4 linked regions of the Lepisosteus oculatus genome follow. The protein of the gene in region 1 interacts with the protein of each later gene in a pairwise test. Links are inferred from orthologs where the notes say so. Each region holds a gene or a part of one and is shown in the gene's direction. Other genes may lie near its edges. The genes, in order: tfip11, odad3, sh2d4a and imp3.

What was found.
Region 2: the proteins of tfip11 (region 1) and odad3 interact in binary tests that used the Homo sapiens proteins (3 or more experiments, as listed by UniProt). The two-hybrid records come from large-scale screens. The link is inferred for Lepisosteus oculatus from reciprocal best matches to the Homo sapiens genes TFIP11 and ODAD3.
Region 3: the proteins of tfip11 (region 1) and sh2d4a interact in binary tests that used the Homo sapiens proteins (3 or more experiments, as listed by UniProt). The two-hybrid records come from large-scale screens. The link is inferred for Lepisosteus oculatus from reciprocal best matches to the Homo sapiens genes TFIP11 and SH2D4A.
Region 4: the proteins of tfip11 (region 1) and imp3 interact in binary tests that used the Homo sapiens proteins (3 or more experiments, as listed by UniProt). The two-hybrid records come from large-scale screens. The link is inferred for Lepisosteus oculatus from reciprocal best matches to the Homo sapiens genes TFIP11 and IMP3.

The regions. Positions count from the first base shown.
Region 1 is NC_090717.1:14,664,483-14,672,883, forward strand, and holds the start of tfip11 (tuftelin-interacting protein 11), read left to right. Parts: upstream 1-4,873; 5' UTR 4,874-5,027; intron 5,028-5,356; 5' UTR 5,357-5,390; coding exon 5,391-5,596; intron 5,597-6,019; coding exon 6,020-6,176; intron 6,177-6,463; coding exon 6,464-6,620; intron 6,621-6,760; coding exon 6,761-6,888; intron 6,889-7,311; coding exon 7,312-7,467; intron 7,468-7,733; coding exon 7,734-7,925; intron 7,926-8,168; coding exon 8,169-8,401. Other genes in the region: srrd (SRR1-like protein), read right to left, coding at 415-460, 906-1,057, 1,736-1,834, 2,621-2,847, 3,528-3,568, 3,894-4,045. UniProt on the Homo sapiens protein: Involved in pre-mRNA splicing, specifically in spliceosome disassembly during late-stage splicing events. Intron turnover seems to proceed through reactions in two lariat-intron associated complexes termed Intron Large (IL) and Intron Small (IS).
Region 2 is NC_090706.1:17,751,941-17,759,812, reverse strand, and holds the start of odad3 (coiled-coil domain-containing protein 151), read left to right. Parts: upstream 1-4,545; 5' UTR 4,546-5,085; coding exon 5,086-5,170; intron 5,171-6,488; coding exon 6,489-6,610; intron 6,611-7,205; coding exon 7,206-7,283; intron 7,284-7,652; coding exon 7,653-7,832; intron 7,833-7,872. UniProt on the Homo sapiens protein: Component of the outer dynein arm-docking complex (ODA-DC) that mediates outer dynein arms (ODA) binding onto the doublet microtubule. Involved in mediating assembly of both ODAs and their axonemal docking complex onto ciliary microtubules.
Region 3 is NC_090698.1:26,585,889-26,594,047, reverse strand, and holds the start of sh2d4a (SH2 domain-containing protein 4A), read left to right. Parts: upstream 1-5,052; 5' UTR 5,053-5,286; intron 5,287-7,139; 5' UTR 7,140-7,205; intron 7,206-8,159. UniProt on the Homo sapiens protein: Inhibits estrogen-induced cell proliferation by competing with PLCG for binding to ESR1, blocking the effect of estrogen on PLCG and repressing estrogen-induced proliferation. May play a role in T-cell development and function.
Region 4 is NC_090704.1:31,045,937-31,053,527, forward strand, and holds the start of imp3 (U3 small nucleolar ribonucleoprotein protein IMP3), read left to right. Parts: upstream 1-4,432; 5' UTR 4,433-4,540; coding exon 4,541-4,677; intron 4,678-6,093; coding exon 6,094-6,201; intron 6,202-7,591. UniProt on the Homo sapiens protein: Component of the 60-80S U3 small nucleolar ribonucleoprotein (U3 snoRNP). Required for the early cleavages during pre-18S ribosomal RNA processing. Part of the small subunit (SSU) processome, first precursor of the small eukaryotic ribosomal subunit.

The DNA.
Region 1 (8,401 bases):
TTGACAGAAATAGCAACACAGCAAAAAAACAGAGAGGAAAGAAATCAGTGAAAAGGAACTTGAAATTGTAACCAGGTTTCATTCACCATTCAATCAGGAATTAAAACATTTAGGAAATAAAACTGAACAAAAGCAGAATATTTTTACATTCTTTTTAACAAAATAGAAGCAGAAGGCCCAGAAACAGCCTCATGCCAAAGCACACTGGGCAGGTCCAACTGCCCCACTGATCTCAGCAGAACGTCCAGCACTCTCAGAGACAGAGCACATCATCAAGTCATCGTATGCAAGCCATGCTGTTTTAGAATTGATTCTAAATTTCACTGGTAATACTGGCAGCCCCAGTTTCCGGCTCTTGTCCACAACAGTGAGGGCAGGACGGGTGTCCAGAGGTGAGGACACAGGAAAGGATACGTCCCGGATGTAGGTATAATCTCTCTTGAGGACTCTTTCCAGCGTGCTGCAAAACAAACATCGATACCAACTCTTACTGCCATGAGCTGCTTGCTCTAATCTCTCCACACTCTCAGGCTACAGATCTATCAGGGTGCTTCATGCGACTAAAATTCAAAAGAGAGGAAAGAATATAAGGAAGACTTACAAATAATATAAGGCCACTTGGCCCATCTAGCCCCTTTGGTAACTGGTAGTTAATTTATCAGATCTCATCCAGGTGTTTCCTGGTAGAACCAGGGGTTTTGGCTTCAGAACAGTTTGGGCACATAATAAACAACAATAAACAATCCTTCTACAGCACTTTTCTGGACACTGCACTCAAAGCGTAATGGTAATGGGGACCCCTCCACCAACACCAGTATGTCAAGGTGATATGGCTTGTTCCATACTCCCACAATCCTTTGTGTAAAGAAAAGAACAACACCATGATGGTCATGGAACTGCCTCACCTCTCCTGAATGCCACAGAAACTGTTTCCGACTATGGTAAGCAGGGGCAGGCTGTCAGTGCTCCAGTTTCTCCACAGCAGGTTGTTATACAGTGCTTTTCCACAGTGAATCAGGTAGAAGAGGGTGGGTCTGCACACAAGCCGCTTCCCCTCCTGAGCAGCAGCAACAAAGCACAACAGACGACAATTCAGAACAGCACCCAGGAAAATAACACAAAGCAATTCTGCCTGCAGACAATTACTGAACAGAAGAACTGGGGTTCAGTTGATGATGTTGGTTACAGGCTCTCTGAGGCAGAGAGACTAAGCAAGTGAATGACTGCTCCTGCTGCAGTCACTAATGCTCATTCACATTCAATAACCGGTTTATCCAATTCAGGGTTGCAGGGCAGCCGGAGCCGATCCCGGCAAGCAACGGCACAAGGCAGGATAACACACTGGATGGGACACCAGCCCACTGCAGGCACTCACACCACTGCCAGTTTTCCCAGAAGACAATTGACCCACCAGCATGTCTTTGGACTGTGGGAGCACCTGGGGGAAACCCACGCAAACATGGGTAGAACATACAAACTCTACACAGACAGCACCTCGGGTCCAGAACTGAACCCAGGGCCGCAATTCTGATCACTGTGCCACCATACCGCCCCTAAATATAACATCTTATCTGAAGTAAAAAGCCCAGAGATGTTCAGCAGCTCCCATGAACCAGCGATAGAGTCAGGGGCCTAAAACGAGAACATCCTGGCTGCAAGTCCTCTACACTAATATCCGCTTCAGCACTCAGCCTGCAGGCTGCAGCAGCTGTCTTCTCACTGCGATTCCTCTCACCTCGTTCTCCGTGAGCACAGTGAGCCCCAGGGCCTGCAGAACTTTGGTCTCTGCCGCCGAGAACACCGGGTCATACACACAGCAGCGCTGGGGCGGCACCTTGGGCAAGATGGTGTCAATACTGGGGCAAGACAGTGTCTCCCCCAAACATTCATGTGTTCTGCAAACCACTGCCCTGTCTTCAGATTTCATTTCAAAACATATACTGGGTTTTAATAATCAACAAATGCAACGCCCAGTTAAGGATAATCTGGGTTACCATTTCACCGATACGGGTTTCGCAGAGCTGCTGAGCCTGTTCCTGGTCTGGTTCAGACTTGCACACCAACCCAAAACTCCTCCTAGGCGGGGAGGCAGGAAAAGGCAGAGACCTGTGCAAGATGTGCGCGAAGAGCAGAGTTCCCAGCTGGAACGACCAGCTCAACGGCTGAGAGGTTTGCCCATCACAGCTTCCTCTCCTCTCCTGACCTGCAGCAGCTGCCTGCTGGGCAGTTTAATGGCCTCCCGAAGCAGACTGTCTGCACTGTCTCCTGGCTCTGCGTTAGGACACCCACCTCCCTGAGGAAGTGAGACAGCCTGGACTCAGGGATTCGCAGGCTCTGTAAAAACCTTATATAACAGCTTGTAATTCAATGTCATTAATAAGTGTTTCTCGTTTAAGACTTTTGATGATTTTGCTTCCATTAAACTGTGCTAATAAGAAAGATACCATGTGGCCACCTGTCATTCTCACTACAGGTATCTGAGAAATTTGCCTTCTGGGCAAGCTGGTGTCAGGACATGATCATTTCCTTAACATCTTAAATTCTTTAACCTCCTGTTACAGATCGCGTCCATCATCCAGCACCTCAAGAGACGTAGTGACGCTCACGGAGCTGCAGGTACCTGCAGGCTCTCTAGGAGCAGCAGCAGCAGAGCCAGCTGGTAGCGGGAGGAGACGCAGGAGGAGAAGTTGCCTAGCCCGTAACACACGCAGTCCAGCTCCGACGCGGCACAGACAGCGCCCTCGCGCTTTGGGTGTGAAGAGCACGCACTCTCCTTGTCCTGGGAAGGAGAGCTGCCGCTGCCCAGCTCAGCTGGGGGATCGCTGGCCAGGCTGTTTACAAGCAGCTCTGAAGAAAGAAGGCAGAACACAGCTGAGCCCAACACCAGGTCTGTGAGGAAGGATGCCTCTGAATGAATAAGCACCGATTCCTGGCGAGTGACACAGGACATTATTCATCAGGGTTCTACTCTACTGCACAATCAGAAAGCACGCTCCACCACACTGAGTTCCCACACTTTTACACAAAGGCAGAAAACAACTTGCAGTTTTGACAAAAAACAAACTGAAACATTTAAACAGCTTAAAGCATTTCTTAAACTAGTATTCTGTAATGTTCACATTAGGATGAAAAACAGGAAGGTGATCAATTTTAGAAGAGATGACTTCACCTCCATAACCTAATGGCTGATTAATCTGAACAGCTGTGACTGTGGGACATAAGAATGTAAGAATGATTACAAACAAAATAAGGCCACTTGGCCCATCTGGCCTGATTGGTGGATAGTAGCTTTATTGATCCAAGGATCTCTGGACAGTTCTTGGTGGAAGCCAAGATATTGATTTGGGCAGCTTGTTCCAGACTCTCACAACCTTTTAGGTGAGGATGTGCTGTCTGGTCTTGGTTTCAAATGCAGTTCTACGTAGTTTACACTTGTGCCCTCTGATTTGTTTTGTACGGGTACATGCCAACAAGAGGATTATCCAGCACACAGCTGGCTGGGAGTCCACTCCTGAAGACTAGCTCACCTCTCCACACCTGCCAGAAATCCTCAATCCTCAGCTCTTTCCTGAAATACACAGAGAAAAATTTAGCCTTCAGTGTTCACATGGGAAGAACTGCTGAGTCTACTGAGGACTTTGGCATCACTGCTATCGCCCATCGCCCCAACAGAGCAGAGCTGAAAGAAGGAGGAAGAGGCAGTGTCGGGTACAGTGTTATAACATGCACAAGGCGACGCTACCACATCGGAGGTGCTTGTGTCATCAGGGTCTACACAGGCAACACGGCGCTCAGCTCAGCCTCTCCTGCAGGCGCCTGTCCGACACGCTGGAACGCTCTCTGATGGCCTAAGCCATACCTCCTAGAACTGCCCGGCGCGGTGAGAGACTCACATGGCTGCGGTGATCCTCTCTCGGAGCTGCCGAGTGTCCGGTGCATCGTCCAGGACACAGTTACCCTGCTGTCCCTGTCCTCCCCACCGCCTGGGCCGGCTTTTCCCCTTCTTCCGCTGTACCTTCTGCCATTCCCCGCTGCCGCCCGCCATCCCTCTGGGAAAGCTGGGATCCTAGGAGACCAGGATACAATGTCAGCACCGCCGGGCTCCGCGCAGCGGTTGCGATCACGGCTCTGTGACCTTGCCGAGAGGGAAGACTAGGGTCGGACCTGCGCTGGCTTTTGTCCAACTTAAGCGCTCCGTTAATTGACGTAATTTCACGTTTTCCGTGTTGCACTACTCTGAAAATATTGTCAAGATCCTCCACAGCGCATTAACGTAACGGAGACGGTATAGATGTACATAACCCTAACCGTGAGCTCAGAACAGTCCCCGGTACCGTCTGTGTGGAGCGCTGACTCAAAAAGTCCCTCCTCGCTCCGAACAGAACAAACCTTACGAAGAGCCGTACGCTCTTTTTCACTCTTCTATCAAGAATAAATGCAACGTGTCAAAAACAGTAGTAAAATGCAGCCACCACCCTCCCAGTGCTCACTCTGATCTTAGCGTCACTCAGCTACCAGAGAACCTCAGAGCTGTCAGATGAAACCGGTCCTCCCGGCTGAACACAGAGCCCACTGGACTGATCCCACCCCCTCAACCAAACACACACCACCTTGCACTTCTGACTGCGCGTACGGCCTTACAAAGACCCTGGCGGAAACTATGACGCGTGACAAAAGTTCCGACTGTGAGGGGTCCGGTAGGAGTCAGATCATACGAACAGAAGGAAACAAGAAGTCACAAGGCTTGCATATATCACCATGCACATTATTTATTTAAAACATTCCACTCTGATTATTTGGTATATGCACAGATTCGGCGACTATTTTTCTAGACAATTTTAGTCTACGTTTCTAGGGGACGGGTGTAGACTGTGCACTCTCAGGAAGTGGAGGGAAGTCGCTCTGTTTACGCTTCTCGGGTTAAGGCGAGATTTAGTTTTCGAGCGAAGTCCGGCAATTTCCCCACGAAAATACTCGGCAGGGAAGCAGGTTGGTGTTTGCTGAGTGTTTAATCGTCATCCATCGAGGTAAAGGAGTCCAGTTTTCTGTCTCCTAATCGGGAAACGCCTTACTTGCCGGCTGGTTAATTTATTTTGAAAATGAGCTGTGACGTGCCGGATGCGCTGGGCGCCCCTGGTCGGGACCGCACTCTGGTGTTGGACGTTGGGCCACAGAACGGAACCCGACCGAGCAGAACCTGAAAAACTACACGATTTTTTTTTGCCCGATCTGGATTCTCGGTGCCTGTTAAATCCCAGAATATCTGACAGGATATCCTTTAACGATCTCCTATCACGGTGAAGATATCTTTCTATAAGCAGCAAAAATACATTCACGGTCCTGCCTTCCCTTGCAGACCGCAGTGTGCCAGTCCGAGCGCCGCCCAGAGGATGTCTCTGTCCCACCTGTACGGGAGGGGGGGCGAGGAGGAGGAGGAGGGTGTGGAGGTCGAGCGCTTCGAGGTGACGGATTGGGACTTAGAGAACGAGTTCAACCCCGACCGGCGCCGGCACCGCCAGACCAAAGAGGAGGCGACATACGGCGTGTGGGCCGAGCGCGACTCCGATGACGAGCGACCCAGCTTTGGTGGGAAGAGGTGCGCCGTGCCCCTGTCTGCCAGTTTGCTTGAATCTGGGTGTCAGTGTAAGAGAGTGGAGTTTGTGAATTCAGTGCAAACCCGAGGGCTGTAGTGCATTCAGATCATAAAAAAAAATAAAAACCTTAAGTATCCTCTGTATTGTAGAGTAATAATAATTCTTACTCTTCTATAGTCCTTTTCTGGACACTACACTCAAAGCTCTTTACCTCCTCCACCACCAGCAGTGTGCAGCCTCACCTGGAGGCTGCACCAGTCTGCTCACCACACAGCAGCTCTCAGTGGGGAGGAGAGCAGCGTGATGAAGCCAGTTCAGAGAGGGGGATTATTAAAATTGCTTCAGGAAAATCTCACAGCCTTATTAAAGTGGGTATAATGTTTTATATCTGGGGCAGTTTCCTACATGGTTTGCTCTGTGTCCAGGTCCAGGGACTACACTGCACCTGTCAGCTTCGTGAGCGCGGGGCTCCGGAAGAGCGCGGCCGAGGAGAGAGAACAGGAGGGATCTGACGACTCAGAACCAGAGGCAGACCCTCCCCAGGCGCCCCCCCGGGAGTCAGCGCCCAGAAGGCTGCAGACGGTGAGAAAGGGTTGAGGTCAGGGGCTGGGGGGGAAGAACCTCCCGTTTCTTCTGTAAATCCTGCTTGACGGCTCGCTGCAGTGTCCTCTCTTCACAATATGGCCTTCAGTTCAGTTGCTTGTGCTCCGGTGGCTGGAGTTTTCTTTTCTCTGTCCCTTACTCATTCTTCGCACCTGCTGCAGGTACAGCTATGCATACAGAGTGGGCTGTTGCCACCGGGGTAATACAGCACACTGATGTGGTTCTGTTTCCCCTGTGTGTCTGCCTTCTCTCTGTTTGCACACCAGGGGGGGAACTTTAAGAGCTCCCAGAGGGCATTTGGCAGTGGCACTCGTGGTGGGCAGGACCTGGGCACCTGGGAGAAACACACCCGTGGAATTGGGCAGAAACTGCTGCAGAAGATGGGCTACGTGCCAGGCAAAGGGCTGGGCAAGAATGCACAGGGTAATGATGAGAGATCTGTGGGATCTGTGTGCTTGTTTCAGTGTCCTGACAGTGTGACTGTGTGCCCATTGTTGTCTGTCATTACTGAGTTTTTTTTGCCAGTGCTGCTCCTCAGTGCCAGATGCTATGTCTTTGCCCAGGTATTGTGAACCCCATTGAGGCTAAGGTGCGCAAGGGCAAGGGGGCAGTGGGAGCTTATGGCACAGAGAGGACCCAGCAGTCCCTGCAGGACTTCCCCATCGTGGATTCTGAGGAAGAGGAGGAAAAGGTGAGTGGGGCTCCGGATCTGGCCTGTTAATGTGCACCCAACAGTCTCTGGTTGTGTGCCTCGGGATTACCTCTGTGAAGCTTTTACTCCTTTCTGGTAAAAGGCAGCCAGCGCTCAGGTCCTTTTTTAAAGGTGTTTGCTGCACTTTTAGTTCTGCTGAATCACATTCATACAAATGTACAAAGCCACAGCACATTTATTCATTTTTTTCATTCATGTGTTGTGTCTTGCTGGTTTGCATCTTTACATTTGTGCAGCAGCTTTAACTGAGGTGTGGAATAAATTCCCGTTGCTGTCTGCCCTTCTGAGTCACGTGTGAAACTCCAGTCTCACGTTCGCCCGAGAGCCGCTGCCTCTCACTTCTCCCCCGCTGGCCAGGCAGGGAGCCCAGCTGCCCGTTCAGAATCTCCTCTCTTCCCGCAGGACTTCCAGCGGGAGCTGGGCCAGTGGCGCAGAGACCCAGGGGCTGGGAAGAAGAAGCCCAAATACTCGTACCGAACGGTGGACGAGCTGAAGGCCCGGGGGCAGGCGGTGGGCAAGAGCATGACTGCGCCCCCTGCGGAGCTGGCCCAGGTCAAGGTGTGCAGGGAGATATAGACACTGCGTTTAATCTAGTGTTTCGATTGCATGTTTTATCACACCAGATACAAGAGCAGTATTCTTTGCTAGTGTTCTGGAATTATCACCATTATGCTGAGTTATGTAGTCATAGTAATCTAGTCTAGTTTTGAGGTAAGTTATAGCATAGGTCTATGACAAATTGTCTAAAATAAATTAAAGTATTCTTTACAGTTTTCTGCTGTGTTTTGAAAGTGTATCAGTCTGTCCCCTGGGCTGTGTTGCAGGTGATTGATATGACAGGCCGTGAGCAGAAGGTCTATTACAGCTACAGTCAGATGAGCCAGAAGCACAGTGTTCCAGAGGAGCCGTCCCTTGGTGCCGCCCCCAAGGACCAGCGGAGTCCTGGCTTCGCACTTCCTGAGCTGGAGCACAACTTGCAGCTGCTGATTGACCTCACGGAGCAGGATATTCTACAGGTCAGTCCATATGTCTGTAACGCCCTCTTTCTTCATGCCTTTCACTGCAACTACCCTCTGCGTCCCGCCTTGTCCCTGTAGCTGGAACTACCCTCTCTCTCCGCCCTTAGGCTATGTAATCACTTGTGTGAAACATGTGCCTCAGCCAGCCAGCATGCTGTATCATGCAGTGTAGTGGTAGTGGCTGACGAGGACTGCGCACAGGCAGCAGACAGCTGTGTTGAAGTTCTCACTCTCTCTCAGAGCGCACGAAGGCTTCAGCACGAGCGGGACATGGTGGTGTCTCTGTCTCATGAGAGCGCCGCCCTAGAGGAGACACTGAAGCAGGAGCGTGTTGCCCTGGGGCGGCTGGAGCACGTGCTCGAGCTGGTTGAGAAAAGCGAGGAGGGCCAGGGCCAGGATGGGCCGCTCACGCTGGAGGAGTGTGCGCATATCTTCGAGAAGCTGCAGTCCGACTACTATCAGGAGTACAAGAT
Region 2 (7,872 bases), on another chromosome or scaffold:
GTGATAATGAAGATGATCGTCCCCTTGTTTGACCTGAAAAAAACAAGGATTCTGTAGAAAAAGCCTGTTTAAAGGTAAACATATTAACATGTCCGTTCTAAAAGGTCACAATATGAGCCTGTGTGCCTCAGTAGCTTGGTGGTGTGTAGGGATTCGGAGAGCTTACCCTACAGAGTTTTTCACTGGCACTCATGTCTGTACAGTCTATTAGGGAGAAGAACAAGTGCTTTTGGATTTCTATTCTTGGAGGTGGACTTGTGGACCACCGAGCAAGGAGAAGAGGGGGGGGGGGGGGGGAGTGGGAAGAGAAATGCTGTCTGATGTTAAACTGCCTTTGCAGATTTTTGTTACTTTATTTTTTAACCCATTATGCGAGATGAAGAATATGAATGTAGACTACGCAATCTGCGGTTTTAGGGGTTCACGGTGTTGCTGTACGAATGCACAGACACCCAAGTGGTAGTCCGTATGTTGGGTATGGCATTGTACAATCCATTTGTTTTGAGATGCATTAAAGTTGCCATGTGTTTAATCCAATTTTGGAAGTATGCTTGGACTGCATATTAATTTCAGGCTCCTCTTTTAGTCATGCCACTTGCCTGGAGACTGAATGAGATTTTGAAGTTGCTCTGAGGTTTGACTTAAACCAAGGAGTAAGCAGAATAATAAATGTCTGTTGACATTTATAGGTCATTGGGATACAACACCTTTATTAAGTTTACTTTTGGAATCTTGCATTGTTTTCTTTAAAAGTGGCAATGTATTTGATGAGTATCGATGTATAGATCCGATTGCCACGGAACCTCCTGATCCAGTACTGACTGGGAACAGGTGGTTCTCGGTCTGATCAGTGGCAGATCTGAACTACTGGTCATGGTAGGTATCCACTGAAAGATATGTATAACATACAACGACTGCTGAAACTCTAAAAACGTCTGGGAAAAATGATAGTGATGCTTATAGATAGCTTAGCCGACGTGCTTCAAGGCAATTAACAAAACTTAAGTTTGGTGAATATCAGTCTGGGAGCAACTCTGAGAAAGAATGAAATTTCAAGGTGCTTGAGAGTATGGGCTACCCAGACTCGTACAGACGTTGCGGTGGCTTCTGTAAACTTGGGGCTGTGTGTGATTAACTAAAGGCATTTTTCATTTGTGCATTTCTCGGTCCAGTCGAAGCGTTGCTCACTTGCCCCCTCTCCAGGCAGAGCGGTGTCGGCAGCGAGAAGGGACTGGCGGCAGAGGGTTGCCAGAAAGGTGTGGTCCTCTCGGGGTCTGTGAGACTTCGAGAAGCGTTATCGGTACAAAAGCTGATGGTTTGTGTGAGAGTACAACGCCATGTGGTATCTCTAACCACACCAACAGGGCTGATTTGGTTTTTTATAGTAGCAACTGATGGCTTCTTCATCTCTGGCTTAGGCAGGAATTTTGACCCTGCTATCATTGTAGTCTTAATTACCATCTAAGCATAACATTAATAGGAGCTAAAGCTACCAGAGTTAACCCTTTAATTGGCAAGTACCAAAAAACTTAACTGAAAATGTTTTACTTGTTCTTTTCTAGTGGATTTTGTCTCAAATAACACAATTTCATAAGTTTTTTTTTTCAAAACTGTGTGTTTATTTTCCATTTTACAAACTGTATCCCACAGGATACAGTGCCCATTTGGGGTATACATCTGAACTGTTTTTGGCAACTGCTCCCATAGTCAAAAGAACCATAAAACCATTAAAACTCACTAATTTTTATGTTTCATTAAAAAAGGAATGCCAAACATACAATACACCCTTATCCCTACTTGCTTTGGTGTTTAAAAAATTACAACTGGTGTTAAAACTTAAAACTTACAAGTTACTCTAATGTTAAAAAAGTAAAGTCTTACAAAAACCCCAATTCATTTGGGCCCAAAATTGCAACAGTTCATTGTTTTACTGGTACTATGAACCTGTCCTTATGTTCAAAAGTATTTCATCAATTTCATCGAAGATGAAAGCAGTTGCATGCATTTTGTCCAGTGACAATGCAAAGCCTCACATTACACTTCTCACACATGATGGTCCATTAGGGCACATCCTGCATCTCCCTTTCACAGACAGAATTGGGTAGTGGCTGTTTCCATCATAGCGCATTTCATCTATAGGCTGTGGGACCTTTGGCTGCTTGACAACCCTCACGGCTGCATCATTCTCATTTCCTAGGGAAAGCCGGGCTCTTTTTTGTTTTTCTGGATAGATGAGACCTTTGGCAACATCTAGCCTGAAGGCCTTCAGTTTCTTCAGCTTTACTGGACCAATTGCTGTTGCGTCATGCTGATAAAGCAACCATGCATTACCGACAGCAATGCCTATCAGTTGCCAGAATATGCAAAGGTACCACCGATGGGACTTGGCTGGAGTGCGATATAATGCAATCATCATGTCAGTCAAGTCCACACCTCCCATGTGATGGTTGTATTCTGCCACGATCTGTGGACATGGGACAGATATCTGTCTTCCCTTCTTTGAGAAGCGCTTCATTTAACCTACAGGCATCACAGAAGCACATGTGCTCACCAAGGTGACTGTTTTGCTGTCAGCCCATTTGACTATTGCAAGCTGTGCATCGTTGTCAACTCGGTAGTCAAAACTACCTCTTCCTCTTTTCAGTAGTTCTTGATCATCTTCCAGTTTTCAGCCCATCAAGTGATTTTCTAATGGTTCCCAAACTTCTGAGGCCCATAGAATCCTTCAAATAGGTTAGCAAGCTGAGAGATGTGAAGAAGTTGTCAAATAGACCACACAGTCAGGGGCGTTCCTGATGGTTTTGCAAAGATGCAAAACTACATTGACCCCTAAACCAAACTCTTTGAGTGGAATTTGTGTAGCACAAGCAAATGTAGACTTCCCTGTGTAGATGAAGAAGTCATGCACAAAACCAGATACCCCAGCGCGCACATTTCTTGGGTTTGGCAGGTAGGTACTGGCGCAGACTTCCAGCTTTTCGACCTTTGTAAGGCACCATCATTTCATCAATCGAGAACTGATTTTCACTTTTAATTTGAGAGCATTTCTTTCTCATATGGTCTAGCACAGGCCTGATTTTCACCAGCCGGTCTTCTTGGGACTCAGGGACCAGGTTATTTTGAAAGTGTAGTATTCTGGACAAACATTTGAAGCACTTAATTGGCATGACATCTGCTATTTTGTCATATTTTGTATCACTGGCCCATTAATCTTCCATTGCAGCCATTTTCGCTACACCCATGAACAATTTGATACCTATGAATGCTTTGATTTCACTGATGTTGGTGTTTATGCTTCCACCAATCAGTTGGCATGAGTACAGATTGGTCTGATCAGCAATTAGCTCAAAAATCGCATTATTAAAGAATTTGGAAAAATAGGTTGGTGGAGAAAAGATTCCATCTTGTGCCATGAAATATGTTGGTGTTGCAGCTGACTGGTGTTCAAAATCGTTTTTTTTTTCCACCTAGAAAGGAATGAAATATATAATGGTTTATTGGAAACCACTCACACTCCCCTTTTTTGCTCACTATACATTCTATAAATAACATGTATTACTTCCATGTACACATTCTCATGGTCAGTTAGCAGTCTTGGACATAATATTTTTGTCTGGGTTCTAGTCCACATGCATACATTCATGTACAGTAAGTGCACACACCCACATGAACACACAGTATATAGTGTTACTTTATCAACAATATCCTATTTAATGGTTTACATCACCTACATTTCTTAATTTGTATGGACAGGTGTCCTTCTGCTGCCTCAACATTACAGCTACAGTCACTACTGCTATCCTCACTGCTAATGCTGCTATCTTCTCTTCGGCCTTCTGCATCTACATAGGCTTCATCATCTTCCTCACTTGTCCCTTGCTCTGAATCTGAAGAGCCAACAGGTGGCTGAATCCCTCTCCTAGGCCTACTATAAAATATCTTTGTGGAAATTCCCTGAAATAGTTAGTAAATAGTAATAGTTAGCACCTTTATGTGATGAAAGCATTTCAGTTGTTGTTATTTAATATCTAATACTTATGGCCTTTAAAAGAACAGGCACACATAGTGCTATTAATGACTGTTTTACACCCCCATTTAGGCAACGTATCCCAGGGGATACAGATATTTAATGTCAGATTTGGAGAACAGTACAAATATAATTCACATTTTTTTTTCATATTAACATGTCATATCATGCTTAAAAATGAATAGCTTATAAAAATGTCCCCCCAAAATTTGTGTTATGTATAAAATAAATACAGGTACTCACCATATGGTCAGTGAAGCCTTCTCCATCTTCCATCACAACAGATTCAGAAAGGAGTGACAAGTCTATCCCAGAATGCTCAGATGAAATCACATGACCTAAGTCCTTAACACATGACTCCCTCGTATGTTTTAATTGGATAAAAAAACACATGTTCCTAGCCCCTCCCACAGCTGGTCAAAATGTCTGTATCCAGCAGGATACAATATCCATTAAAGGGTATTGTAACTTTTAATGACGTTACATTTAAAGTTTAAATCTTTTGAACGCAGGGAGCAGGGAATCCAGCTGCAGGTTGTTGAAATGTTATGCAAACGGGAAGAAACTGCTCCAATTACGAAGTTCTCCAAGATAGGTAGCTGTTGTAACGTAAGGAGACTTAGAAACACTGATAGTAAGAACCAGCGATGCGAATCATGGCAGTGCAATGAGGTGTATTTTGAAAGATGCTCGGTGTAGGAGATAGTAGTGTGCACGGCCATGATCGTCTTCAACTACAACGCCCAGCATGCATTGCGGTGGAACTTTTTCCTGGCAACGTGATTTGTTTATCTCCCACTGTGGCCATGGAGATGGATGGCTGTTGCTGGGCACCCAGACAAGCTCCTAGTGTTTCACAGCTCCAGCCTAGGTAGCTGTGTGAAGAAGGCCCGAGTCCTTACAAGAGGAAAAATTCATTTTACCGAAACTCGGCGCCAGCGCAGCACACTGAAATAACGGTGGCACCCGAAAGCTCTGGGTGCTAGGTCGACGTTATCGGCGTCAGGCATAGGGTTATTCACATTATCTTTTTCACATTCAAGGCGCACCTGGTAAACATGCCTCTCTCGTTTAATACTGACGCAATTAAGCCTCCTCTACACGAGCAGATATCGGAGCTCCAAAGGAAAATTCAGCTTCTTGGTAGGTATTTCTTTTCATTAACGTTGGACTGATATTAGCCTGTCATCTGAGTGAAGCAGTTAAACGCGTCCCTTAAAGTCCCTTAGCTAGAAACTTGAGTTCGTCTGGTTTAAATTAATTGTACGCACCACGGTGCATAAAATACAATTTTAAAGAAACGTGTTAACTTAAAATCGGCAACTTTCGCGTAATTTAACAAAGGTGTGAGTTAAAGTTGATTTTGTAGGCGCTTTATCTCGACTTTTACTGTACAGTCGTACTGTACAGTAAGTAGTACATAAATAGTAGATTATGTAAGGATAGTGTTAGAGTTGGCAAGAACTTGTCATGATAAAACGTGGACCATATCAGTCGCTTGGAAGGACGAGCCTTCAAAGTTTATAGGGCATGACTAAACTAAAACATTGCAGCTAACGCTGGGTGGGGGCCGCGCAGAAAGTGGGAGATTTGCGCACCAGACTCAATTCAATTCAACTTTATTGTCATTATACTTACACAGGTGCATAGTATAATGAAAAGTGTTTCTCATTAGTCGGTCAGGTGCAGTATATAAACAGGACAAAAGATAAGACAATAGACTAACACAATAACAATAACAGTAACGTGTACTACCATAACGTAATCAAAACTGTGCAAAATCCGCAAACAGAGAAAATATAACAGGACAAAAACAGTGCAAGGTAATTCGGGGAACAGTGCAAAAATACTTTTGATTAATAAATATTACAACTATAGTTGTGTAGTGGTGTTGGAGTACAGTCCTTGTGGGTACAGGAAGAAGTTAGGAGAGATCATAGTATGATGGGAGGGAGTGGGGGCATCACCAACTTGACAGCTCTGGGGAAGGACGCCTTGCACATCTTATTATGAATCAACCACCTGTGCGTTCGAGATGCCGGCGGGTTATTGTAATATCTGCGCTCTCCTGACAATATCAGCGTTCCGCGATTTCTCTGTACCCCAGAAGAGTCATTATTTCTCAGCATCTTATCGGTGCTGACTGTTTTCTGTTCTCCAGCATTGCCTGTACAATGCGTGTTCATCCGTGGGGGTGGGGATGGTGGAAACATCCAAAACCACACAGGTGGTTTCTGTTCTCATACCAGCTACTTCGGTGTCTAAGCTGCCACACGTCTGCTAGCTACACTGCATTTTTAAAGCACGTTGTGCGGGGAAAACCATTCTGCATAGCTCTAATAAAAGCACAAAAGAGCCTGGTGGTGATTTACTGCAACAGTATGTGTTACAGTAGATTTTTTTATGGTTTTGATATTGAGGAAGAGTGGAGAGTCTAACGTATGACATTTCTGACTCGCAGAGGGGGACAGAAGCGCTTACTATGAGAGCTCCCAGTGGACCATCAAGAAGAACAAGGAAGCCATCCTGCAGCTCCGTCAGGAGAACAAGAGGCTACATAAGAAGTTGGCTGAAGCCTTAGCAGTAAGATGGTTTAGGATAAGAAGCCATTGGCCTCTTGCCTCGCAGCACAAACAGACATCATGTGTCTGTGCTACAATGGTCCTGCCGACTAGTTCATGTGAGGCAGGAATAGAGATTGGATCATTTTACATCCGCATTCTGGTTCTGTGCTTCACAAATCTAGACTTGGGGCTAATAAACTTTGCACACTGGGGCCTTGGAAGACCAGGGACAGTCGGAGTCTAGGCTGGGATCTCTTTGGAAGACCAAGTTTATACTTCCAAAACATCTACTTCTCAAGTTCCAGCTTGGGGTTCATCAACCCCCCTTTAATTAATTGTTTTAAAGGAAGTTTTATTTTGTGAACTTGGTTTAAGTCAGGTTCAAATGACAGCGATGCATAGGGTGGTTTCCTAGCTCATGGTCCATTTTTTGAAGGGCAGTTAAAAAGATAATTTTTCAGTGAATTTGGCAGAGAGCTGCATTTCTGAACAAGGCCCATGTGAAGCTGAGAACCCGGTGAAACAGTAATTGGGAATACTGGATTGAGGGGATGATGGAAGAGGAGATATAACACAGTTTCTAACTTTCTGCAATGTGCTGTCTGGTTCTGCAGGGAGATGAGCATGTGATAAAGGATGCCTTCCGGAACCGCATTGCAGAGAGTGCCACCCTGAGGAATAAGACAGGGAAGGTGAGGGAATTCCTGTATGGTGACCAGATAGCCTGAAAGCCACTGGCACACTGAGTAACTGGGAGTTAAGAGAAAATTCCCTGTTAAACCTGCATAGCTCTAGCTTTTAAGGACAATGCGCCTCATTATACATTAAAAAAAAATCTAAAAAAATAATTTTAAGACTAGGTCTGTTTTTTCACTAATTTTCTTTCTTGTGTAACACATGCATATAAAACCTGAAATGGAATATATGGCTGTCGGGCTGTACTGCAGTCGCAGCCTCAGTTTTGTTCTGTTCAGGAATAAACTGGTTATGCTGAAACAATTCTTGAAACGCACTTAGGTAGCTGTTATCTCACCTTATTCCTGTCTATGCTTGGTCTCCAGGCAGCGATTCAGATCATGGACCAGAAGGTGTGCGACAAAATGAAACGGCTAAATGCTCTGAAGCACAGCACCGAGACTCGCCGGCGCCGCCTGGAGGAGCTGCAGGAGCAGTACAGCAGGTTGCAGCAGGAGAGCCAGGCCTTGCAGCAGGGGGCTGAGGCCAGCTCTGAGGAGGCCAAGGTAACTGCAGCAACCAGGGCAGAGATCCTGGCCCACACCT
Region 3 (8,159 bases), on another chromosome or scaffold:
TATTTCCTCCCTGTGTTTGCATGAGTTTCTTCCAGGTGCTCTGGTTTCCTCCCACAGTTAAAAAATATAGCAGTAGGTTACTGGCTTCTGGGAAAACTGGCCCTAGTGTGAGTGTGTGCTTGTTTCTGTGTCTGCCCTGCAGTGGACGAGTGTCCTGTCCAGTATGTACTGTACCCTACCTTACGACCATTGCTTCCCATTTTTAATGTCAATACTGGTGAAAATCGAGAAAGAAAAACACAGAAAGGACCCAATATGCCCCATGTGTCAAGAGCACAATTCCTTTGCTGCGCATGAACCAAATCCTCTTTAGAAATGTATTGGGCTTTTGCCTGATGTCCACCCTGATGGACATCATCAAGTGTGGCACAGATGTGCACAATGCTGTGGTAACTGTTGTGTGCAACAGACTAATTGATTGGGAGGTCTGAACTACAGAACTCGCCTTTAAGTATAGAATGGCTACCTGCCTGCATTACACTACATCAGCACGTCCTGATCAACTGATCATTGTGCGGTGGCTAAGGATCTGCACCTGTGGCTGGAAGGTTGCCGGTTCATATCCTATAGCTAGCAGAGGAATCCTACTCTGTTGGGCCCCTGAGCAAGGCCCTTAACCCCAACTGCTCCAGGGGTGCTGTATAAATGGCTGACCCTTTGCTCTGACCTTTCTCTCTCTTTCTGTGTCTCATGGAGTTGAGGTATTATATTCCTAATATAAGAAATTGTATATGGCTGATAAAGTGATCTTATCTTATCTTATCAAGCCCAGGGACCTCACAGGCTGCCCTCCTGGCAGACTAATCCAGAAGGACAACACACATCCTCTGGCTCCTTAGCTAACAATGGTTTTCTTGTAAGATAAGGTGACACATGTGCTATGAATGCTGTATTTACCCCAGAACTTTAGGACTAGAATGAAGGAAGGGAGTGTCTGGGTGATCGTGGGGAGAAACCAGACATAACAAGTGGGGACTACATGAGGAACAGTCCCTCCTTCCTTTGTCCTTTCTGTTTGCTGTCTGTTCCCCTGTTCCACGACTGGTTCAGCCTGCTCAGGGTCCCCACACAATCCAATGTGTCGACGCTGATCATGTTGTAATTGATGGGTGTCGAGCCAAACAGTGTGTCGTTCAATTGGAATGTTGTTTGTCACTGGAGACCCTGAATAACGAGAGGGGAGCAGAGACAAAGGAGAAAAACACAACAAACCCTGACAGAAATACTGGCTGTTACATAAAGTAAACATACCCCCCAACCCACTGTCGTACAACCACTTTTTTTGTCACCCCATGACACCTACACATTGTTGAAATCAGAGATCACTGAATTCATGCTGAAAGTTTGCTCTCCCTGCAAACATTCAATGACATTCTATTCAGCTGTCATACTTCTGCATTTCAGTACAAATTACATTTTTGCATCTAACGCACAAAAACGGTTTTTAAGTGAACAGAACAAACACTCGTATTACTTTTTCAATACAGTTTAGCAATGCTTAAAGGCCATTTACATTTTAGGTATCCTGAGAGTTAACGTGATTTAAACTAATCAAAGTACGAAACCATAACATAGACTGTACTGAGCCGCATTAAAAATGGTTGAGATTTTAAAAATGCATTACAAAAACTGGTTACAAAACTAATATGCTATGCTTTGAATGCCTCTCAGTTTAGTTTGTCTGGATACGTCCAACTGTGAAGGGTAAATAAATCTATTGTTAACTGTGGTAAAGGAGATTATACAGGATATTTATTTAACAATTGCAGGAAGCAATCATCTTTAATTTACCTTGGTGATGAATGAACTATCTTCGTCAGGCCGGTATCTGAGTATGGTATACTATGAGCGCCATCTTGTGTTCAAAAGTAGTTAATATTTTTCCTTGAAGATCTGTTCATTTTTGATATTATTCCTCTGGAACCTAAGATCCATGAGGGGTGGCATGGTGGCGCAGTGGTGGCACTGGGGCCCTGGGTTCAATTCATGGGGTGCTATCTGCATGGAGTTTTTGTGTTCTGCTTGTGTTCGAATGAGTTTGTCCTGGGTTTTCTACCACAGTGCAAAGACATACTGGTATGTTAATTGGCCTCTGGGAAAAGTGTTCTTGATGTGAGTGTGTACATGTTTGTGTTTGTGTCTGTCTGCTCTGTGATAGACTGGTTCTGTAGATGGATGAAGATCTGTGATACCAGTGAAAGGTAGTTAGGTGGGAGTTGGGGTAGCTGCTGAAGCAGTCAAAGCCATATTATGTGGGGTAGATGTTTGTAGATGTTTGACTGTAATACATAAATAATTCCTTAGTGAACACTATACTGAGAAATTAGGAACCACACAGACTGCAGGACAGCGCTCCCTACTGGTCCCACTAACATGTCTTCCAGCAGCACCTTAATTTTTTTAGCTTAGACTGTAATTTAGGGGTTTATACAGTATGTAGAACCTTGTTGAGGAATTGGTGGGGAATGGTATTTTTAATTTTTTTTAAGTGCTGTGTCATATCAAATAAAAAACGTGGTCTTGAGAACATTTGTGTATGAGTGTATTTACTATGGTTATTGAAAAATCAAAACAAATTAAAGAATAGAGCCTGTAAAAACAAGGTAGCATTGCTTTTGTCTTAATATGCCAGCAGCCATATCATGCTGTAACTCACATCTAGCAACCCACTGAAGCTCAGCAGGTGTGATCCTGGTCAGAACTTGGACGGGAGACCTCCTGGGACAAAATAAGGTTTCTGCAGGAAGTGTTAGTGGGGCCAGCAGGAGGTTCTCACCCTCCTGTCTGTGTGGGTCCAAATGCCCCAGTATAGTGATGGGATGCTATACTGTAAAAAAGACTGTGCAGAAAGAGGGGAGAGTGAGTTGCTCTCTAAACAGGAAAGGAAAGACAAGTCTTGCAGGAGACTGGGTTAACACTGGAAAACACCAGTCTGTGTTTTCTTTGGATGATCAAGTGTCAGGGCTAGAACCGTCCGCTGTGGAATGTTCTACTGCACAGAAGCCAGCAAACAACGTTCTACCACTCGAGACAGAGACTGCCACACAGCCACCAGCTCCACAGCAACAGCCCTCTACAACTGAAGGAACCAGACTTGAAACTGAATCTTGGCTTCGTGCACCTCCACCTGGCTTCCACGATATGCCTGAGACTGAAGAGCCCATTAAGAGGAGGGCAACTGCTCTGAGGCTACAGCAGGCACAGTGTTTTTTTTGCCCCAGACCAATGATGATATGCCTCTCCAAGAATGCACGTCTGTCTGCAGTACCAACCATCTGCCTGTCTCACCTCCTACACCTGTTGGCATCAGAGACACAGACAGCACACAGAGTCGCTCTGTGTCCTCAGACAAGCTCTGCCAGATATTGGGGAGCCCGGATGTCATTTCTGAGCCACCTGTCTCACAGCAGCAGGAACGCAGGCAGGACACGAAACACATCTTGTCTCCAGATAACAATGGCCTCACTACCGTTTATCACTTCTCAGCTACAAGATTGGACAGTGTCAACTCATCTGGGAGCTCACCTGGAGCTAGTGGGCACTGATTTGGGCCAGAGGAGCATCACTCCCGGTAACCCAGTGCTGCTTAAGAAAACCAGGCCAGCTCTTGTGGTGGCCAGCTAGCTGCCTGTGGTGATTTGGCTTCACATGAGGGTACCCTTTAGGGAACCTGGTTGAAAAGGGCCAACCAGTGACCGGCTTGATACCCCAGAAAGAAGGAAACTGGACTGATCGTGGGTTCTGATTTTTCTCATTCCGATTACAACATGTTTATAATTGGTACTTTTGTTATGTTTTAACAAGTTTTGTATTGTTGTAACATTTTTATGTCCTAACGTTTTTGTTTGTTTTGCATGTAGTGTGATACACTATAGTTCTGTTGTTGTTTTGTTTCACTTTATAGGAACTGTTTTAGTTATTTGGTTATTATTCAATATCCTTTTAACATGTGTTTTCTTGTTTTAACAACTTTAATAACAACTAATAACTTTGCTGTCATTTAAGTTGCCTCACTGTTACAAAGTTCAATATTTAGTGGAGGACATGGCAAATAATTGTTTTGCTTTTATTACTAGATTATTTTAGTTTTACCTAACCTGATATGGTTCTGTTTACAATGTTTTTGTGTTTAGAATCATAAACATGGTTAGTTTACACAGAGCATAGCTTGTGTCTCAGGTCTGCTAGTTTAGTGTTGCTATTTAAATGTTAGTACACAACTGCAGCTTTAATGATAATATGTTCGTGAAGAGACTCGGGTTTGTAGCAGCATTGCTTTCCATTCACTGTTGACAAGGAACACATGCCCAGCATTGTCTAGGTTAAAGGTAACTTTGACTGTTTTCCTTTACTTACAGCTTTACCTGGGACCAAATCTAAATCCTTTTATGTCTTAGTCACTTCAAACAAAAGTCACTTTGAAGTAGAGGAAAAGTAACAGATTTTCTCACTTTTATATTAATGTTTAACAACAATATCTGCACCTTTGTTGCAACTTAAAGGCTGTAAGGCACTAGTACCAACTGCCTCCTGCCAGGCATGCAGTACCTGATCTAATAGTTAGAAATTGTGTGCTTAGTACATATGTAGGGTTAAATTTCATGGGAGTCTGTGATACTATGTGTACACAACACAAACACATGTTCACACAAACATACAAAAGTGAAAGTGGGAAAATCTGTGAATTACTAGCCTCGGATTTCAAAAACCCTACAGTTATCATTTTTACACCTATATCTGCATCTCGGCACAGGAAACATAATATATTACTCTGTAAATGTTAGCTTTGAAGAGACATTCTGAATGCATCATTTGTGTTGAGAGTTAACCTTTGTAATGTGTACGTCCCAAAAGAAAATACTACAATTACAAAACTACTGCTGTACTTTTGATCATTCTTAATAGGTAGCTATTAAATACTGTTTATACGCAATTTTGTATTTAAAAAAATCAATTAAATTTGCAATCTGTTCATGTAACAGATCAATAAGAAGGCGGGGGGAAACCATAAACAGAGATTTAGCTGCAGCCTTTCGTAATACCTGGAACAGAGGTGTTCTTGGGTTGAAGCTTACTTTCGGCATTGGGCGTTGGATGTGACGTGTACGACAAAACAAACGGACAAAGAAAGATAAAACGAAATTGCTTCATGGTATATGGCGTACAGAAATGTCACGAGACGTTGAAGACACATTGCCGGAAAGTTAAAAGTCAGGTTTCTTGGTGACGTGAAGTTATCTTTAAAAGGGAGAAAAGTGCAAGGGACGGGAGTGGTTTGAACTCATGGTAAGGTTTTTCTTTTCATCTCGTTTTATTTTCTTAGTATGGAGCAGCGTTGTGTGACATTTATCAATGTTTTTAGAGTAGTTACAATTTTTCATGGGGAGTTCTTTCTGTCTCTGAAAATGTCTTTTTTGTAAACCATTTTTAGTAAATGAAAGTACTTTCCATTTCCAACGAAAATCTCAATGCAAAGCAATGAATGAATTCATTTCAATGCAAAGAAAAACCAACGAGATTATTCTAATCTTTTTCACTGTGTCGGGCTATCACTAAATTGCATAAATCCTTTATATTGACGTATCCTTTACTGCACAACAGACTTCTGGCTATGCGGGCAAACGTAATTTGTTGATTATTCGAGTATTTTGGGCGTATCGATTCTAACTAGCATTGTAGTCTAAGTAGTTTGGCATAGGAAGGATTGTTTCTTATACATTAAGAAAAAAGGCTTCTAACACAATATTTGAGTAATATATTTATTTCCTTTCTGCTAAAGCTGTTTTGAGAGTCCTGGACCGTTTTGGCAAAGAAGCAAGCATTTGCCATTAATTCTTTACTCCAACGTCGTGTCCTCACAGCATGACCAAAAGAAACGCATAAAAGTTACTTTACTATTGAATGCGCAAACATTAAAATCTCATAATAATGATTGAAATGAAAGCCAGTGATTGAACACGGGATTCTTTCAGACTTGTGACGTAGCCTATTGTGTTCAGATTTGTTGTGTTTGTGTGTTATTGGTAGTGTCTCGAAGCCCAATTGTATGTTCAAAGGTTTTTTTAGCCCATGCAGTTGGATACGTCGTATTTCAACGTGTATTTTTTAGATTTTTTTAAATTCAAATAAAATTTTCCACGGGATTATCTTTATCTTATTTTAGCTTTTAAATATTTGCACGGCTAGATTTCCACATGGGGTTAACCCATTCAGCACTTCCTTGTTGTACTTCGTTTATATTTTGGGGATCAAATCATTTTAAAGCGAAATGCAGTCTTTGCCTAAATGCACAGCAGACATAAGGGGAAGCTTAGGCCCACTTTTTAAATCTTTTTGCTACAAAGAAATTAGTTTCCAGCGTTCTAAAATTGTAAGTGTTAAAGATGGAAATCTAGGCATCTAGTTAAATAAAAAGCAAACAAAATGTGAATTTACAGAACCAGCTTGAGGTCACAGGAAGTGTGGTAACTCTTAAAGAGTTCACATAAAGCTGTTAGTATTATATTAAATTCTGTTACATGATCTCCAAATAATTTTATATTATTTAACTGTTTTCCATAGAAAATGCATCCTGGAGCGCACATAATGTGCCCTTGTAATATCTGGAGTCAGGGCAACCAATATAATTATACAGTCTTTGAGCAGAATCTACATTTTAAATGAAGAAACAACAGAAGGGTACCAATCTACTCGCACAGCTTGAACGACTGTAACAGTTTCTTGCTTTCATTATCTAGTTGCTGAATGGACTTTCATGTCAAGGTCATATTCTACCAGGAAAAACAAATGTATTTTGCCTCTGAATGGAGAGGTATAAGCATGGTTATGTTTTGAAATCATTTAAAATTTCCCATTGGAATGGAAATATTTGGAGAATGACTCATTAAATCATTTATGAAGTCTTGACAGGCATAGTTATTTCATATTATTTTAATATTGGTTAATACACTGTATTGGTTTTTCCCTGTTGTTTAATTGTTTCATAATGAATATGGGCTAGTGGAGCCAATTGTGAAGCAGTTTAAGAAGCTCAATTTGTGCACTTTTGCATTTGTATTTGTAGTATTCAATATTAAATTACCATAACCTCAACCTGCTTTGATTTTAGTTCAGCTTTCCATGCTTGTTTTGTCTTTTAGGGAAATACCTAGAATGTAAATATTTGGCCTGGCTGACATCCATTCATGAGATACAACTCATCAAAGGTGATTCTTTTTTAACCCCAGAAGTTTTCCTTGACTTCAAAGTTTTTACAGTTGCGATCAAAACTGTTTACAGCACTTGGACTTTTTCACATTTTGATTTGTTACCATGTGGAATCATAATGTATTTAACTGGGATCTTTTGCCATTGACACTAAACACTGTATGTCAAAGTGAAACCCAAATTCTGTTGATCCTCCTAAATTAATGATAAAAATAAAACGGAAAATAACTGATTGCATAAGTATTCACCTCCCTTAAGTCAATATTTGAGAGAGGCACATTTGGCAGAAATCACAGCCGGGAGTCTTCTTGGATTAAATCTCCACCATCTTTCCACCCCTGGACATCAATTTCTGTCAATTTTTCTTTGCAAGTCTCCCAAGTCTCTGGTCTGTTGCAGACTGCAGAAGGTTTTTTTTCTGTGCTTTGCTACTTCCACTCTGCGTCATGTCTTCACAAGTATTCCAAACACTAACACAGTGAAGCTGCCACCACCATGCTTCACAGCAGGGAAAACGCTTCTCAGGATGATGTGTGGTGTTACGCTTGTGCCAAACATTGTGTTAAGTGTTAAGACTAAAGGGGTCAATTGTGGTCTTTTCAGACCGTAGAATCTTCTTTCTCTTGGTCATTGCATAATTCAGTTGAGAATTGTACTTTATAGATCCCCTCCTGTGTGGATTAAGTTGAATGCAATGTGTTAACTACCTTATTCGATGACACCTACAATCTCTAATTATTTTGTGGCAACTGGGTTTTGCAGAGAGAGAGAGGTTTAACTGGTTGTATTGCATTTATTTAGAAGGCAGCTTATCTCTTATTTGGCCCCTGTAGGCATTCAAATTTTAATACTTAGTTGAAGTATGGGTTTTTCCTGGTGAATAGGATATTAGGCCACTGAAACGCCTTGTCTTTACATACTGTAAATACATTGTATGTTTTGTTGTATGTAGC
Region 4 (7,591 bases), on another chromosome or scaffold:
GATTATTATTATGTGCTGGACTGCACTGGATCCTACGGGTGGAGCGGTGGTACTGTGGCTAAGGATCTGTGCCTGTAGCTGGTTTTGCCAGTTCAAATCCCGCGGCTGGCAGAGGAATCCTACTCCCTGGGGCCCTGAGCAAGGCCCTTAACCCCAACTGCTCCAGGGGTGCTGTATAAATGGCTGACCCTGTGCTCTGACTCCAAGCTTGGGGCAAGTTGGGGTATGTGCAAAGACAAATTCTTAATGCAAGAAATTGTATATGGCCAATAAAGTGATCTTATACTGTATCTTCCAGTTCTGCGAAAGGCTTCTGCAGTACAGCTCCCTCATCTCTTTCACACATCAGATTTCTGGGCAGCACATTGCTGAGTGTCACATTCCCACCAAAACGCAAATTCCTTCCATAACTTAATGAAATTTGACCCTAAAAACCTTTACCAGCCCCTAGCACATAAAAAACACATTCACATGGCCATTTTTATCTAGGATCATCTTTATGTGAATCTTTAAATGAGCTCAGAAGATTATGAATGTGTACACAGAAGGCTCTCTAAAACAGCCTATTAAAGCTGTAGCTGAACTGGGATGATTGAATTGTACAGGTCCTGCTTAAACGCTGACATGATTTTAAATTTTATCTGTATGAGAATGTCAGTGTTACAGGCTGAATTGCCACCAAACAAAAAGAGATGGCATTGTGATGACCCCCGCTCCATATTTCAAGGGTGATCTGTCGTTTCTGTCATTTTGCAGGCCACTGTGAGAACGTGTTTATGTTCTGACATGTAATGTTTCTTCCATTAGGTAGCCAGTACACCTTTAATTAGCACCTTCCTTAAACACGCTTTATTTCTTTGTGGTGATATTTTTGTCTTTCGAGCCTTGTTGGCCTCCCGGGAGTTTCACAGTGCCGTGATTGTATAGTTACTGTTTGTGTGGTTTCCGTCTCAGCCCTGCCTGTCCTGGGGGTGTGATCATACTGTAATACAGACATAGCTCTGCCCCTCCTGGCCAGCTCATCAGTAGGGAAAGAGGCTCAGTGTCTTTTCACACCATTGTGCATGGCTTCCTCTAGACCTGATAGCTGGTGTCACTTTCCACCACTGATGAAACACTGCCTTCCCAGGCATGGCTATTTTGTCATGATCACACACAGCCATTACAAAACAAACACTACCAAGCCAGACTCCACTGCTGCAGTGATATTGTATTATTGCTGTTAGGTCTTTTATTGTTCTTTTTTTAAGAATGCATTGTTATTGGAATGTGAGGCAGTAAGGTTACAGAGTACAAGGCAGTGTTGCACTGCAGTAACAGTGGGTGGGATAAGATCATTTTGTGGTCAATTTCTTGTAGTAGGAATTTGTCTTTTCCCAAACCCCGACTTGCTCTCCATAAGACACACAGACAGGGAGAGAAGCTGGGGGTCAGAGCGCAGGGTCAGCCATTTATATGGCACCCCCTGGAGCAGCTGGGGTTAAGGGCCTTGCTCAGGGGCCCAATGGAGTAGGATTGCTCTGCCGGCTGAGGGATACGAACCCGTAGCCTTCCAGCCACAGGCACAGAACCTTAGCCACAGAACGACCACACCAGATTCAGTATTTTCAATCAGATACTGCTGATCTCAATGTACATGTCGCCTTTCAAGGAGCCTAAACATACACATTAAAACAATTTCTCTACAACAGAGAACACTTCAGAATGTACAAAAAAGAACAACAAGAAGAAGAAAGAACATTTACAAAAGTTACATGACCTAGGCACACAAATGGTCAAGTTCAAGGTCAAGTTCACGTTTATTTGTCATTCCAGTCACATACAAGAATACACTGGAATGAAATATCGTTCCTCCTGGTCCACAGTGCAAATACAGGCAGGACAGACAGGATACACATAGTGGAAAGTGCAGATAGTGCAAATTACACAATATACACAACACACTGGGGGGATTTAAACCCTGTTTCTGGAATTGGGGTGGGTGCAAGTAGATTCCAGGGTGTTGAGGAGCCTGACAGCCTGCGGGAAGAAGCTGTTACAGAGCCTGGTTAAACTTGTCTATAGCTCAAGAGTACATGGGTAATGATCGAACAATAACAATGGTACCAGCTCTGAACTCGGCCTAGTCCGTTATCTCATCCCTACCCCTGACATTTAGGAGAAAGCCCATGAAACAAGGTGGCTTTTGCAGAGAAAGGGTCGGAGCATTACAAATGCAAGTAGGAAGGGAATTCCAGAGAGTAGGAGCAATGGAACTAAAAGAATGAGGTCCATTGTTACGATCATTACAATGCAATGCAGTATAGAAGAGCATAGTGCAATATAAGTGCAGAACTTCTTCGGTGTGGCGTGGCACTATAAAACAGTAATGTAGTATTATTTTAGTGGGGTTCAGTGTTATTGAACTGTGATATTATTGGAGTTCAGTATTATTGAACTGGCCTACTGTGATAATTTGAACTATTTGATCTGCTACAATGTTAGTGTTAGTGTTGGTGAACTAAATTAGCTGCTCTGTTTCATCATTAGGCATTAGGCACCATACATACCGAGTCTCTGTCTCTTCCACAGTATATAGTAAAGCCCCTGCATGTACCTCCGGGGTGTCAGAGCTCACAGCGTGGCCTTCATGTCCCTCATGCTGAAGCCAAGGTTTGGCGTGACAAGTTGAACCTGCTCTTCCACATTCCCAGAGGGTACAGTCTACAGAGTTTGTGATGAGCACCCCCCACCCCAGAGCATTTTCCTTCTGTTCTGTTTGGACAGGACAGGGCTGGAGCAGTTAGCGGTTTCTGCCTCACCCTCTGCCTAACAGTGTGCTTTGCCTTTCATGCCCTTTTGTCTTTGAGAAAGAGTAGACTTTTCACTTTGCTCAAGGAAGTCAGAAACCTCCACTGCCCTAATTACAGACCCCAATCTGAGAATCTGCCCCTTACAGTATCAGTACCATACAGACTGGAGCTGAGGAGTCCACTGTTGGTGTGGCTCTGAACTATGTGACTCTGGTAAGGGCATCCCCAAAGCTAACGGACCCTGGCCTCCTGGGCATGAATAGAGCTCACACAGCATGGACAGAAGACAGATTTTATTCTGAAAATGCCAGAAATGTAGAGTACAGCATCTCAGCTATGACTGTGGCTCAGCAGATTATCTGCCTGCCCGCTGCTGGTGCTACACAAGAGCTGAGATGCCAGTTTGTTTGCATCATAGAGCAGGGGTATCTGATCCTGGTCCTACAGGGCTGGTGTGGCTGCATGACTTCCAGGTCTGAAGATCTGGAAGTAATTGGGTTGTTAAGCCAATAACGAGCTGACTGACAGTGCCGGATTTCCCATTAGGCACTTTAGACACAGTGCCTAGGGCCTAAAAATTTTTTAGGGCCACGAAGGAGGGAAACACTAGTGACTAATGAAAAATGAGCTGAAACAACATGCTTGCGATCGGCTCTAGGTGCTCCAAATCAATAATCATGCGCTATTTAGCGGCTGTTCTAGAAACGAGAAGTATCGAAGTGATGGTTGCTCAACTCGCTCCATCAATCACAAGGTTTAGCATGAGAATAGATAGATAGATAATACTTTATTAATCCCGTAGGGAAATTGATAGTATAAATCAATTAGTTAAAATAGTTTAAAGTGCATCATGTCAATCGACGTAATTCAACTGGGGTTTACCCCTCTCTTTGCACAGTTTGGAGTGCAATAACCTAGGGCCTACGAACATCAAAATCCGTCCCTGCTGACTGACTTGGAATGAAAACCGCAGGCACACTGGCCCTCCAGGACTAGGACTGTCCTCCCCTGGCAGAACCCTTTGTTATTTGGACTCTTTACTCTTCCAGAGGTCTCAAACAGTTCCTGGAAGGCCAAGTGTCTTCTAGTTTGTGTTCCAACCATGTTCTCACATAGCTGGTCTGATTATTTAAGTAACTGTATACTTGTAATATCTCTAACCAGGCTCTGAGGCGATTTATAGGAAACTGTAACTGAAAGTGAAAGTCTTGTTTATTCCACTCTAAAAGGCCTCAAGAAACATCCTGTTACATCCTGAAACTGTTACATGTCTGATTCAGAAAATAATTGGGTCAATTACTTAATTGACTTCCCAGGTTGGAACAGAAACCAGAAGACACCAGGCCCTCTGAAAATGAGTGTGAGACACCTTTGCTCTTCTAAACACGTTTTCACTTAGACTTCCATACTGGGATCTCAGATGGTTTGGTGGTATTGAAATGGAATTTCCTGTTTGCATTCAGGGTCTATTTCTAAGTGAATACTGGAAGATTCGATGCAACGCTGTTTCTGAGGCACAAAAACAATTTCTTCTTCTGAAATGCGGTTAAACCTCCTAAAAGCACTTCTGCACATTTATACTTAACTCTTTAGCGAAGGCTGAAGCTACAGTGCAGACGCTCACGTGTCGCTGCTGGGGGTAGGTGACGTCAAAGCCCAGCGATTTCTGCTAGTGACGGAGAGCGCCGGAAAGAGGAACTTGGAGAGTTTGTTTAAGTTTTTGTGTCGTTTTGCAGTAATATAGAAAGATGGTGAGAAAGTTGAAGTTTCACGAGCAAAAGCTCTTGAAGAAAGTCGATTTTATCAACTGGGAAGTGGACAACAACTTACACGAGGTGAAGGTGTTGCGTAGATTCCACATCGAGAGGAGAGAAGACTATACCGTGTAAGGTTTCTCTGCTGATTCAAACTAAACACGCTGGGCTGTGCGCTTTACTGCACACGGGAACAGACATAAATTGCGCAAGCTCTTTGTTGCTTCTGCGGTTTCGAGAAATAGGAAAATATCTGCCCTTTTTTTACAAACAGATAACTTGTAGCATAAGTTGTTCTGTACGCATGTTTTTTGAAAGGGTATTACTTGCTAACGGAACCCTTTATGCGTGTTTGTTGTGAGACCCATGCTTAAGAGGCTCGTAGAAACGCTGAAACTACTGAAGCTTCACGTGAAATACGCTTTAAATTGTAAGTCTCATGCTCAGACGTGGGCGCCGCCATGACACTTTTCTCTTGCCGCGGGGTGCTACATCGGTTGTCTTTTTCTTCGTCACGCAAGCACTTTTACTTTTAATCAAGTTTAGAACCAACTAAAGTAGATGAAAGTGAAGTTGACAGTGGCATTGCCGTTTGCGTTTAGGATTCGTAGCCTTTTCTCCTGCTGTTTGTGTCGATGGGTTGGGGGACTTCGAATCCCAGCATGCTCCGCGGTCTGTTGCGCTGCAGGCTGCCTATATCCGAGCGCGTGCGTGGTTTTCCTCACTGCGGTGCGTATCATGGATCAGTACTTCTTCTGCAAAACCAGAAAAAGCTCTGAAATAATATACCTCCTTAACCGAAACTGCCTGGGGTTTACGGCTGGAATTGTCAATGTTTCACTTCTTCATTCCTGTTAAAAAGAGTTAAATTGGGCTTCCTTGCCTTTCAATCGCATCAGGTCTGATTTTAACTCCTTGGAACAGCTGCACCAGAACCGCACACGGACTCTGGACAGCAGTGTGTAAAGGCACTCAGAATACTGCCTGGGTCTCTCCAGGCCATCGCTATAAATGAGAAGCTTTTCTCATTAGAGCCATCTGCTTAAATAAAGCATTAAACAAACCGCTCCTGCGATCAGTCATAATCTCCATACTGTTATACTTCATTTCTCTGTGCCCCCCTTCACTATCCACCTCTCTCGCTGTCATTATTTTCCTGCCGGTATCAAATCAAAGTTTATTTATCAAATGCTCAACAATACAGCGTGCAGCAGTAGTTGCTGGTAATGAAATGTCTTTTCTGCAAGCTCACAAAAATCACAAAATAGAGGTTATGAAAATAAGGTTACATACTAATAGATGTAATAGAAATTGAATAATGAGTCGAGCTGCTATGTGTCCATGGTGTATGCAATAAATACAAGTAGTGCAGTTATGCTGAATACAGTGAAAACTGTGTCCATGTAGCCATTACAGGTGATTTGCTAAAGGATCTGCAGGTTGGCTGTTTAGCAGTCTTAAACGGTACCCCTGTTCTTCTCTCCTGTTTGCTGTTGGTCCTCCCTGTTCACCCCTTCTCCCCCCTCTCTGCCCGCCTCTCCCGACAGGTACAACAAGCTCAGCCGTGAGATCCGGCAGCTGGCCCAGAAGATCCGGGACCTGAACGAGAAGGACGGCTTCCGCGCACAGAACACCGCGCGGCTGCTGGAGAAGCTGTGAGTCGTGGGGCAGGGCTGTGTGCGCGTGTCGGACACGGAGGGAGGGAGAGGCATTCGGCAGCGTGGGCTGACCCGGTCGGCCAGGCAGTCGGTCCATCGGTACAGTGTTGGGAAAGGAATGGACAGGAACAAAGTCATGGATTTATCTCATAAAGATGTCAACTGTGGTTTACAGAAATGCATTGTGGGATGCTCAGAGGGTTAAAACCACTGTTTCTCATATAGTGTGACCTGTGTGATATTACAGGATTTTCAAGACCTTTAATACAGCTGAAGGGCTGATATGCCCATTTTTACATTAATAAAGCAGGTCCAGCTTCTTATGAAATCCATTCTATTTCAAAACTTCAGCATTTGTCTGAGCTTCTAGCGATGATTAGTGATTTAGTTTTCATAGGCAAAAGACTTTGTGCCACTCATTCATTCACACTGTTTAAATTAGAAACTGTGCTGTTTTTTGGGGAATGCACATCCACAAAACACCGTTCAGTTTCACAAATTAAATGGAAATGAGTTTCATAAGTGTAGCATCCTTATATATTGTGGTATCTCAATTTCTCTCCTCTAGCTACAGTACAAAAGTATGTAGTAATCTTGAAAAACGTCTGTCTTTTTTGGATTGTGTTCAAGCTTTGTTCTTAATCACAGGCTTCATTATTTCAACTTTCTTTTTGAGGCTTTTTTTAAAATTTCTTGTAGAACTTAAAACATTTAATAGGTGTCAAGCCTGTGCTAATCAGTCCAGGACTGCCCTCATTCAGGTGTGTAAGGTGAATTATATGAAATATAGCCAATTGGGCTGAAGTAAAAGGAAGATCACAGACTCACTGTGGGAGGTGTCTGATACAGGGCCATTCTCTCCTGTCTCTGTTCATCGCTTTGATCACTTACTAATAGTCGTTTAGTCAGAAATAGGGGAGCAAGTGAGTCTGCGAGCCGAGGAGAGACTCGATTAAATTCTGTGGGCTGATGTTTTTGGAAATAATGTGCTTTAACTGAGGCCTCTCTGAAACCAAGAGGCGAGTGCTGAAACAAGCAGATCAGTTACAGGCAGCAGTTAGCTCTGCTGATTAAGGGCCCAGTTGGAATGAAAACCAGCAGACTCAGGGGTACTTCTGAGAGCCCCTGCTCTGAGCCCTCCGCAGTATGCACTTCTGCTGGCGTCTTTCCTCGTGCTTCTTCAGTGAAGCCCTGCTGCTCTCCAAACACGTTTTAATGTGCACAGTGGTGATTTTAAAGCAGTGGTGCTGGTCACGGCCTCCCTCCACTCACAGTGGCCAAGCCAGTGCAGGTGTGATGATTCACAACTACCCAGGTAGGGATCTACATGCTATAATATTCTCTCTCCTGCATATTTGACACTTTCTGTCAGTTTGTCATTGTATGA